Linked DNA regions of Drosophila melanogaster. The protein of the gene in region 2 interacts with the protein of the main gene of each other region in a pairwise test. Each region holds a gene or a part of one and is shown on either strand. Other genes may lie near its edges.

Evidence for each region.
Region 1: the proteins of CG30291 (region 2) and CG3610 interact in a two-hybrid assay, tested with the Drosophila melanogaster proteins (one large-scale study listed by BioGRID).

Annotation. Positions count from the first base shown.
Region 1 is NT_033777.3:14,843,142-14,847,329, forward strand, and holds CG3610 (uncharacterized protein), read left to right. Parts: upstream 1-1,901; 5' UTR 1,902-2,065; coding exon 2,066-3,532; 3' UTR 3,533-3,596; downstream 3,597-4,188.
Region 2 is NT_033778.4:21,006,965-21,011,567, forward strand, and holds CG30291 (uncharacterized protein), read right to left. Parts: upstream 2,613-4,603; 5' UTR 2,535-2,612; coding exon 2,529-2,534; intron 2,467-2,528; coding exon 2,292-2,466; intron 2,241-2,291; coding exon 1,398-2,240; intron 1,344-1,397; coding exon 838-1,343; 3' UTR 791-837; downstream 1-790. Other genes in the region: grau (grauzone), read right to left, coding at 2,905-3,141, 3,205-3,580, 3,643-3,852, 3,915-4,603. UniProt on the Drosophila melanogaster protein: Substrate adapter of E3 ligase complexes mediating ufmylation, the covalent attachment of the ubiquitin-like modifier UFM1 to substrate proteins, and which is involved in various processes, such as ribosome recycling and reticulophagy (also called ER-phagy).

The DNA.
Region 1 (4,188 bases), on a different chromosome or scaffold from region 2:
AAAACCCTACCCTCTCCTTTTTTTTAAGCATTTACATTCGAGACACATAAATGTTAAATACCAATGAAAAGCCCCGCGAAAAGTTCGTTGAACCAGACATGGCAAGTTTCTCTCCGAAGATGGTTTGATTAATTGACGATGACCTGGCTAAAGACTTAATGCCGAACTTCCGTGCGAGTGGCAGATATACTTATTATATCAATTAAGGTAAGCAACAATGCTTTCTATTGTCCCCCCCAGTCCAGCGATTCTGCTGTCTCATAGGGTCGGACCGCCACTTTCCATCATCCATCCAACTTAATGTGCAATAATGAGTGTCATGTAATGCCAGACGCGTTCGATTCGAATTGCCAACCAACCAACAAACAAACAAAACTGAACTCAACTCAAACAGCAGCTGCATTGGCGGCTAAAGGAAAATAAAAGAGAAAAACCCAATGCAGCATTAGCAACGACAACAAATTAACATTTTTCAAAACTTTAAAGCCCCGACATGCGTTGACACTTTCGGGGAAAATTGCGTACAATTTCAAATGCAGGCACAAAACTTTACGCGTAATTACGACACTGGGGAAAACAGGAGGAAAATATAAATGGCAATAAGGGGGGGGGGGGGGGCACAAAAAAAAAACAAATAAATAAAACAAACCGCTGGCAAATCGCGTTCGCTGCGCCGTTGACAGTTGTAAAATGGAAAGGTTATCCGGACCCTGGTCGGCAAAAACCATGGACAGCCAACAAATGCGTCGAGGAAAGTGCCTTCGGAAGCTGCAGCTGCTACTGGAGCTACTCATGTCCCATTCCCCATGCCCCCCCGCCACGAACTCAATCCCCTCCTGCCACAGAGACTCCGCCAATGAGCTTCTGTCGTGGACAGTGACTGATGGTCTGGGAGAGCTCCGCTCTTTTCTGCCTCCAATGATTACGATGATGATGAAGACGGCGATGACAGGGCAGCATTTAACCAGCGCTCAGCAGTTAGATAACTATATATAAATTATGGAAGCCAGACGATAAAAATCCTCGACAGATCGCTCTAGAACGTCTACCATAGTTTATAATTCTAAATATACGTATGTTGAAAATGTTTGATTGCAATTGTGAACAAATTATAATTGGTTTTATCTTATTTTCCAATATACTCAGTATTCTGTAAATAATTGACTTTTATTTAAATACCTTTTTAGCTCAATAGCTGTTTTAAATTCAGGAGAAATATTATTTCTATTGAGTGCAATGCATTCGAGCTCAGAAACTCAATCGTTTAGCTCGGTTGTGATTTTCCATACAAATTCGTATGCAAATTCAAAGGTATATATAGCCAATAGTCGGGGCAACAACGCGCTCGCAAGGGAAGCACTTGAGCCTTACTTTGATGCACATATCCCCATTAAGTTGGCCCCCGTCGAGCTTGTGGCTCCCAATGCGGCCATGCAGTAGGTGAGAGAGAGAGAGAGATCTCTTGGCCTCTTGGCCCAGAACCCACTCAAATATGCTAATCCACTGGAAGTCCACACAGACCTCCACAGACAGCCCACAGTAGAGTGCATGTTTCTGAGCTTCAGGAAAAGTAGTTGCATAAAGCTACAATGCCTTTCCAGAATCTCACAGAGGAAGTAATTTGAAATTACGGAAGGACAGGCTTTCAATTACGGTAAGCTAACTTACCGATATAAAGGGAACATTCTGTAATCGTGGGCAATTGACAGATTCTGTCAATGACAGAAAATCAAGAAAAGTGGCTTTATATTCGCAGCTTAAAAATATTAGCCAGCTCTTATCTGTTTCACTTAATTCTTCATAACATACTTGTAATTTGAATTAACCTGAATATTATTTTCTAAACTTATTTATCCAGCTGAAAACTGTCGTTTTTTAATATCTGAAAATTTTCTAGCAGTCTTCAGTTAGTCAGTAGATTTCGTTAGGTTACTAGCACAAAAAAAAAACATTTTGAGTGAACTAATACCACTCAAAACGCCTTGACATATCACATATTTCATTCCCAGTTAAATTTTCCTAAGTAATTTCTTTAAAAGGAAGTGGTTTGTTTTCTTGAACCACGATGGAAAATCTCCAACCGGAGTCGGATCGCGTTGGCCATATTGTCTGGGATGAACCGGGAGCCTCGATTTTTGCCACCGCCTCCCAGGAGCCCGTACCGAATCTTCTGACCGAGTTCAAACCAATGCCGAAGGGCGAGGACGACTGTGTTTCTGATAAGGATGTGTGCCGCATTCTTACACAGTCGTCTGTCGCGGAGAGCTCATTGTTCCGAATGGTCAAACACCAGGTGGACGAAGTGGCCGCCATGCTCAACAGTCACCTGCATCCGCGCCAACGGAAGGAGCAAACCGATGTGGATGTCACCCTCGGTGTAGCAAGGGAACTGGCTCGCCAGCAGGTGGAGGCCAGTAGATGCCTTCAACTTCATCGCAATGTGGAAAATTTGAGGGATCTCGAGATGGAAGTGGCCCGTGCCCACACAGCGTTGGCTGTCAAGAACAAGATCACCAACAATATCAAACAAACGGTGGAAGATAAGCAGCGGGAGCGGGCCGAAGCTTTGGCGGAACAGCGAGCCGTGGAAAAGGAGCTGAAGGAGGAGAAGCAAAGAAGGGCTCAGAAGGCAGCCGTGTTTCGTAGAGATCTAATGGCCCAGATTACCGAGGGGCGTACCAAGCGGATACAAGATCATCGAATAGCTGTGGCCGAGGGTCGTCAAGAGCTAAAGGAATGCAAGGAGATAGTGGAGCAGGGAATCCTAAAGGATGCAGTTACAAAGGCGCAGCAGCGCAAGGTGCTCCTCGAATCCCTAGACCAATCGGCAGCCATGTTGAAGCAAACCCGCGAGGCCTACGCTCTGGCCCAAAAGAATAAGCCCGAGAGAGGACTCCTTGATGCCCTGGGACCCGTTACGGCGGCCTATGTGTCAAAGGCACGGAAACGACGCCTTGATGAGATCGAGGCCAGGGACATTAATGCCGCTCGGCTGGGCTTCCAGCTCAGCCAGATCAAGCACGATCTGGAGTCCCGAGATCAAGTCATCACCAGTCTGCTAATCCGCGAGCACAAGGCCAAGGAGAACGCGAAGGCCTTGGAACAGGCTAGAACCAAAATGGCCAAGAAGCAGGAGATTCGCGAACAGCTCCTCAGCCAGCGGGAAGAGCAGAAGTTCTTCCGAGATAAGGGTGTGCAGGATGCCCTGGTCATGCCCAAGGATCCCATGTGCTTCGGCGAACGACAGTATCGAATGCAAGTGGCCCAGCGGGAGAACACCCGGCGCTTGGATGTCCAATGCTACCAGGACATGGCCCACATGGTCGTGGAGGCCAAGAATAACAGGAAAGCCGCTGCCCAGGAGGTGGTTGACATTGTACAGGAGGTCTACAACCAACAGAATCGCCAGGATGAGCTTGTGGCTATTGAGCGGATGAAGCTGCTCTCCAAGCAGCCACCTGAAGTTCTTTCAGCGCTCAAGAAATCCATTCTCACCGAAGAGGAGATCAAGTCTTTAAACCTTAAGAAGTAGTTAATGAGTTTTCATTTAATACGCGCTAGATGCCCGTATTAAGGCTTGTAGAAACAAAAAATACAAAAAAGTACTTTTTGTTTTTTTCTTCGGGTTATTATTAAACCTACGCCCCCCTGGATGTTGGCTATTATTTATCAAGTATACTACCTCATGTGAAGCAGCCCACTGGCACAGGATGTGCTTAATTTTCCATTTTGCTGCTCTGCACTTTTAAATAGACTTTGCTGGCGCTGCCGGGATGGCAAATGAAATTCACTTTCTTATCCATTCTTTGGCCAAGCTTTTGCAGCAGGTCAGGTTTCCAGGTTTCGTACTCGAGCAACCGGTTTACCGACATTGCAGCTGGAAATTTGTTTACAATAATACGGTTCGAACGCACGCAGATGGGAGCGTAAGTGCACTTTGAAACCGGGCTTACATACATTTCCTTTACTTTCCATTTCTGGACTCATTAGCCGGCTGCCGGAGGAGACAGGTTTATATTTCATAACTGGCTGGCGAAGAAGGCTCAAGAATGTTGGCAAAGTCAGTTTTTTGGCAACCATTTTGGAGCACTCTCTTGACGACCTGCGGAAACTTTCCCTGGCAATAACTTTGGCTCCAAGTTTCAGCTTCAATGTGCAGAAAAAAAGATATATTTATGCTTTCAGTAC
Region 2 (4,603 bases):
GATTTTAATCGCAAACAAATCGCATCACAAACGGAGACGAAAGATAGATAGAAAACAAAAGTACACGACGCTTTGACCACACAAAGTTGTAACCATATCATGAGGCCTCTTTCCCCGTATAATTAATTGTATTTTCGATAGTGCTTGTTATTTTCTATTTAGTTAACGAATTGATTATACTTACGAAGCCTTTCTGCTGATTACCGCCAGCCACACTTTTGTTAGATTAGTGCCTAAGTCTAGTTGATATCCCAATGTATACCCCGACATTTTGTGGCTTTTTACACCCAAACCTTGTATAGCTACTCTATAGCATTTCCGATTTAATTGAAGCTCCCCCATTCTACCATTCTAGATGTACATCTACATACATATGTGTACATCCGGTTTAATCAATATATCTCGATGAATTTCCTTATATTCAAGACACAGGCCCCCAAAACATTTAAGTTAATCACAGCGTTGTTCTTGTTTTACACATTATTAAAATTCAGCAACATAAGAATTTTACATTTAAGTGAAAGTTTAAAACGTTAACTGTGTAAGCATACTTTTATGAACAAAACAAAAGCAACAAAAAAAAAAGTAAGAAAAGAAAAGAAAAGAGAACGAAAAATGAAATCAACAAACTTCACTAAAATTAGGTTTGTATTCTGGATACAAAAAAAAAAAAAGAGAGAAGCAAAATGGCAATTAAAAGAAAGAACACAATATAAATAAAATTTGTATATTTAATAAAAATAGCAAAATAAAAATAAACTTCTTTTAAAAAATTTACAAAACCATCTTTGTCCATTTACCAGTTTATTTTTAACAAACAGCCATAAAAAAGTTACATTAGTTAACACCCCCCATCAAGTTAACCACCCGGTTCTTGTACCGCTTGGATATATCCTTCTCGATGTGAGACTGCAGCGTGCGAGTCTGAGCAATCAGCTCCTCCAGCACGGGATTCAGGTCCTGCCGCTGCTCCCGCAGCTCGATGGTCAACTGCTTGAGCGCCTCTCGCGTGGCGCGCAGCTTCTCCACGGCCTTTGTCATTTGCTGCAGCTTGGTGGCCAGCATATTGGCATACTTTGGGGAGTGCTTCAGCTGGAAGAGGTGCTGCGTCTGCTTGTCGGATGTCTGCTGGATTATTTTCTCCACGGACACGAGTATCTTCCAGATGCTCTCACCGTCGTGGGTGGCAATGTTGTCCATCAGCGAGAACATGATGTCGCTGGAGGATTCAAGCTGCTTGAGCTCGTAGATACGCATGCGTAGAAAGGATTCCAGTTCGTAGATTTCGTCCAGGAAGCGATCGCGATAGTTGGGTGAGTCCAGCAAAGTGTAGGCCTGATCGCCTGGAACAACAAACCATTAACCATCATAAAATCGAGTATAATAAAAGAACTTACCCTTGGCAGTGCCGCCATCCATGCCGGTGCCCTCCACCACGATGCCGTACTCCTCGACGGGAATGTCAAAATTGATTTCCACCGCATCGGTGGGTGCACTCTCAATGCCCCAGTCGATGTTGCCGCCGTCGCTTTCCGGCAAATCCCCGCTGCCGAAGTCCCCGTAGTCGATAATCTCAGCCGAAACGGTCGACGAAGTTCCGCCGTTGTCATCCGTTCCGAAGTCAATCTCGGCCACAGCATTGTCATCCTTGCTGGCGTTGCCCTCGCTGAGATTTAGCCGAATGGGCGGCTCCTCGACGGCCAAGGGTGCTTCCTTGTGGATGTACTGGTACACGGTGGTGTTGCCAAACTCCACCAGGTGGTTCAGGATAGGCAGCACTTGCTTGTTGCCGCTGACCTCCGCATACAGGTCGATGCCCGGCTGAATATTGGCAATGCCCACCAGCGACTTATCGTATAGTTCCGGTAGACCAGATAGAACCTGGACGAACTCGGCATGCAGATTGTCGCCCTTGACGCCCAGTTGCTCCAGCAAAGCCGAGTGGTCGGCCAGGATTTGGCTCTCGGGCTTGTTCAGATCGTGCGCTCGCTTCTGGGTCTCGTCCGCCTGCTGCTCCAGCCTGGCCATCTGCTTTCGCACTCCGGGAATCTCGTAGTTCACATTGCGCACGAAAATCTGAGCCGTTTCGGCCAGGTAGGTGGCATTCTTTTCGTACAGGCGGCTAATCTCTTGCCAGTCCTTCATGCGCTGGCTGCCGTAGGTGCCGAACACGCTCTTGGTGTCCTTCTCCGTCTGCTTGAGGATCTCAATGATCTCCTTCACATGGTAGTAGTTGATATCTGCAAGTGGGACACATTAGTGGGATGGCATTCTGGGCACTGGGCACCTACTTGTCCGGGCCAACAGCTTGATCAGCTGCTCATTGGAGGGCATGTCCTGCAGGGCGTTGCTAATCTTCCTGTGGATCTCCCTAAGCTCCTGCTGCACATTCTTGGGCACAATTCTGCGGCTGATCAGCCAGTCCTGCAGCTTCAGCGTGTGTATGTCGATGGGGATCTCGGACTCCTGCTCAAATAAAATGCTGATGAGCGAAATATTCCCAAAGATTTCGTTAATAAAGTGCTTACATTCATTTTAATTAAATGTTTGTCCACGCAGACTGTTTTCTATTATTTTAGCAGCTGGCAGTGTGACCAGTCTACTGTAATAAACAAAGCGGATACTTCAACCATCATACCTTTTTTTTCCAATTGAAAAATTCAAGACATTCACACTGTAAATTTTTTAAATTCAAAAACAATATTTCTGAATGTAGCTAAATGAAACATTTAAATTCAAAAAACTTAATTAAAATGTAAATAGCCAAAAATCCCACCAATATGACAACAAACCGCTCGTACTTTCAAATAATTCCTATTATACATATATTTTGTTTTCAAACAAAGGTCAATCAAAAACTAAGCAATGGTTTCCGCAAATCGATTTCCTTAAGCATTTCCGGGCCTAACCCGAATAGTCATTGGCAATAGCTGCGACATCGGCATCGTCCCGGAACATTTGCGCCACTTGGGCGCTGGGCAGGACCTTCTGTGAGCTACCGGTCTTCGTCTTTCGCCAGATGTCCCACTCCACCGGATGCATTTTCTTCTTGTGGGAGTGCATGTTGGCGTTGGAGTTGAAGGTGCGGGGACAGAAGGGACACTTGTAGAGTGGCTCGCCAGTGTGCTGCGCCATATGCTCCTGCAAACATCAATCGCTTTAATACAACACATAAATAAATAAGGGTAATATGTATTATCCAACCTTAAGGCTGATGTCCTTCTTGAAGGTTTTGCCACACTGCTCGCAGGTGTAGATCACATTCGAGTGGGAGTAGCGCTTATGACCAATCAGCGCGCGGGAGTTCTTGCAGCTCTTGCCACACTCTGAGCAGATAAACAGCTTGCCCTCGTCGTTGTGGCGCCTCAAATGCTGCTTAAGATTGTCCTCGTCCTTCAGCCAGCTCTCGCAGTCAGGACGCGGGCACTTGATCCGTGGTCCGCTCTCCTCGAAGTGCAGGCGAACGTGCTTTTCGAAGACAGCCTTGTCCTTGATCTTCTTGCCGCACACATGGCAGATATTGGCCGCCTTGCGGTGCTGCATGCTGATATGGACCTGCATGTGGTACTCCGTGGCAAAACTGTGGTGTGAAAGGAGAACGATAAGCATTGGAAACACTGCCGTTTAGCTGGCGAGGCTCACGCATTGTGTTTGGGGCACTGCGGGCAGATGAACTTGCGCTCATTTACGGGCACATGGGAGCCCTTGTGCAGTTCGAGCAGGTTGCGTCGCGAGAAGCGTTTGCCGCAGTCCTCGCACTGGAAGTCGCACTCCTCGTCTGGAACATGGTGGACCAGCCAGTGGGCACGCAATACGCTGGAATTGGCGAACACCTTTCCGCAGTCCTTGCATCTGTCGGAAAGGAAAGCTAATTATCAAATCGCTTCGAATTGGTTTGGGTAAGAGAGACCCACTTGATGTACTCGGGATTCTCATGCCTCCTCGCATGCTCCTGGATGAGGCAGCGCTTGTTGAGCTTGCGTCCGCAGCACTTGATGTAGGGCCGCTCGTCCGGATGCTTGTCCTTGAAGTGCTCGCGGATGCCGTCGAAGTCCTCGGCCAAGAATATGCACAGCTCGCAGCCCATGACTATGTAGCGCTTGATCAGTTCCTCGTCCTCTTTGCAAAACGGCGGCAGGCGTTCCATCTTGAATATCCTCTTGGGCGGTCCCCGCTTGACCACCATCTTCTCCTTCCCCTTTCTGCCCACCGACACCGTTCCTCTTTTCGTTTTAGCCGGCTTGGCCACGTCCCGTTTACGTTTGCGTCCACTCCGGGTCACGATCAGGTCGTCGGTGTCATCATCCTCGTCGTCCTCGTAGTCCTCATCCTGTTCATTGTTGGCATCCTCAAAGAGGAGTTCCATGTCGGGTGACTGTCGCTCTGTTTTGATGCCCACCTTGCTGTCTTCCGGGGACATGGGTTGGCTAAGGTCTAACTCGTCCAGGGGATTCACATTTATCTGCGCACCGACATCGTTGTCGACGGCAAGGACGTCGGCCGGCATGAGCACCTCCTCCGGCCAGGAGGTGTTCACCATCTCCGGATCCTGCTTGAACTTGGAGGTGGTGGCGTATATCACCTGGGCCTCCTGTATGGACAC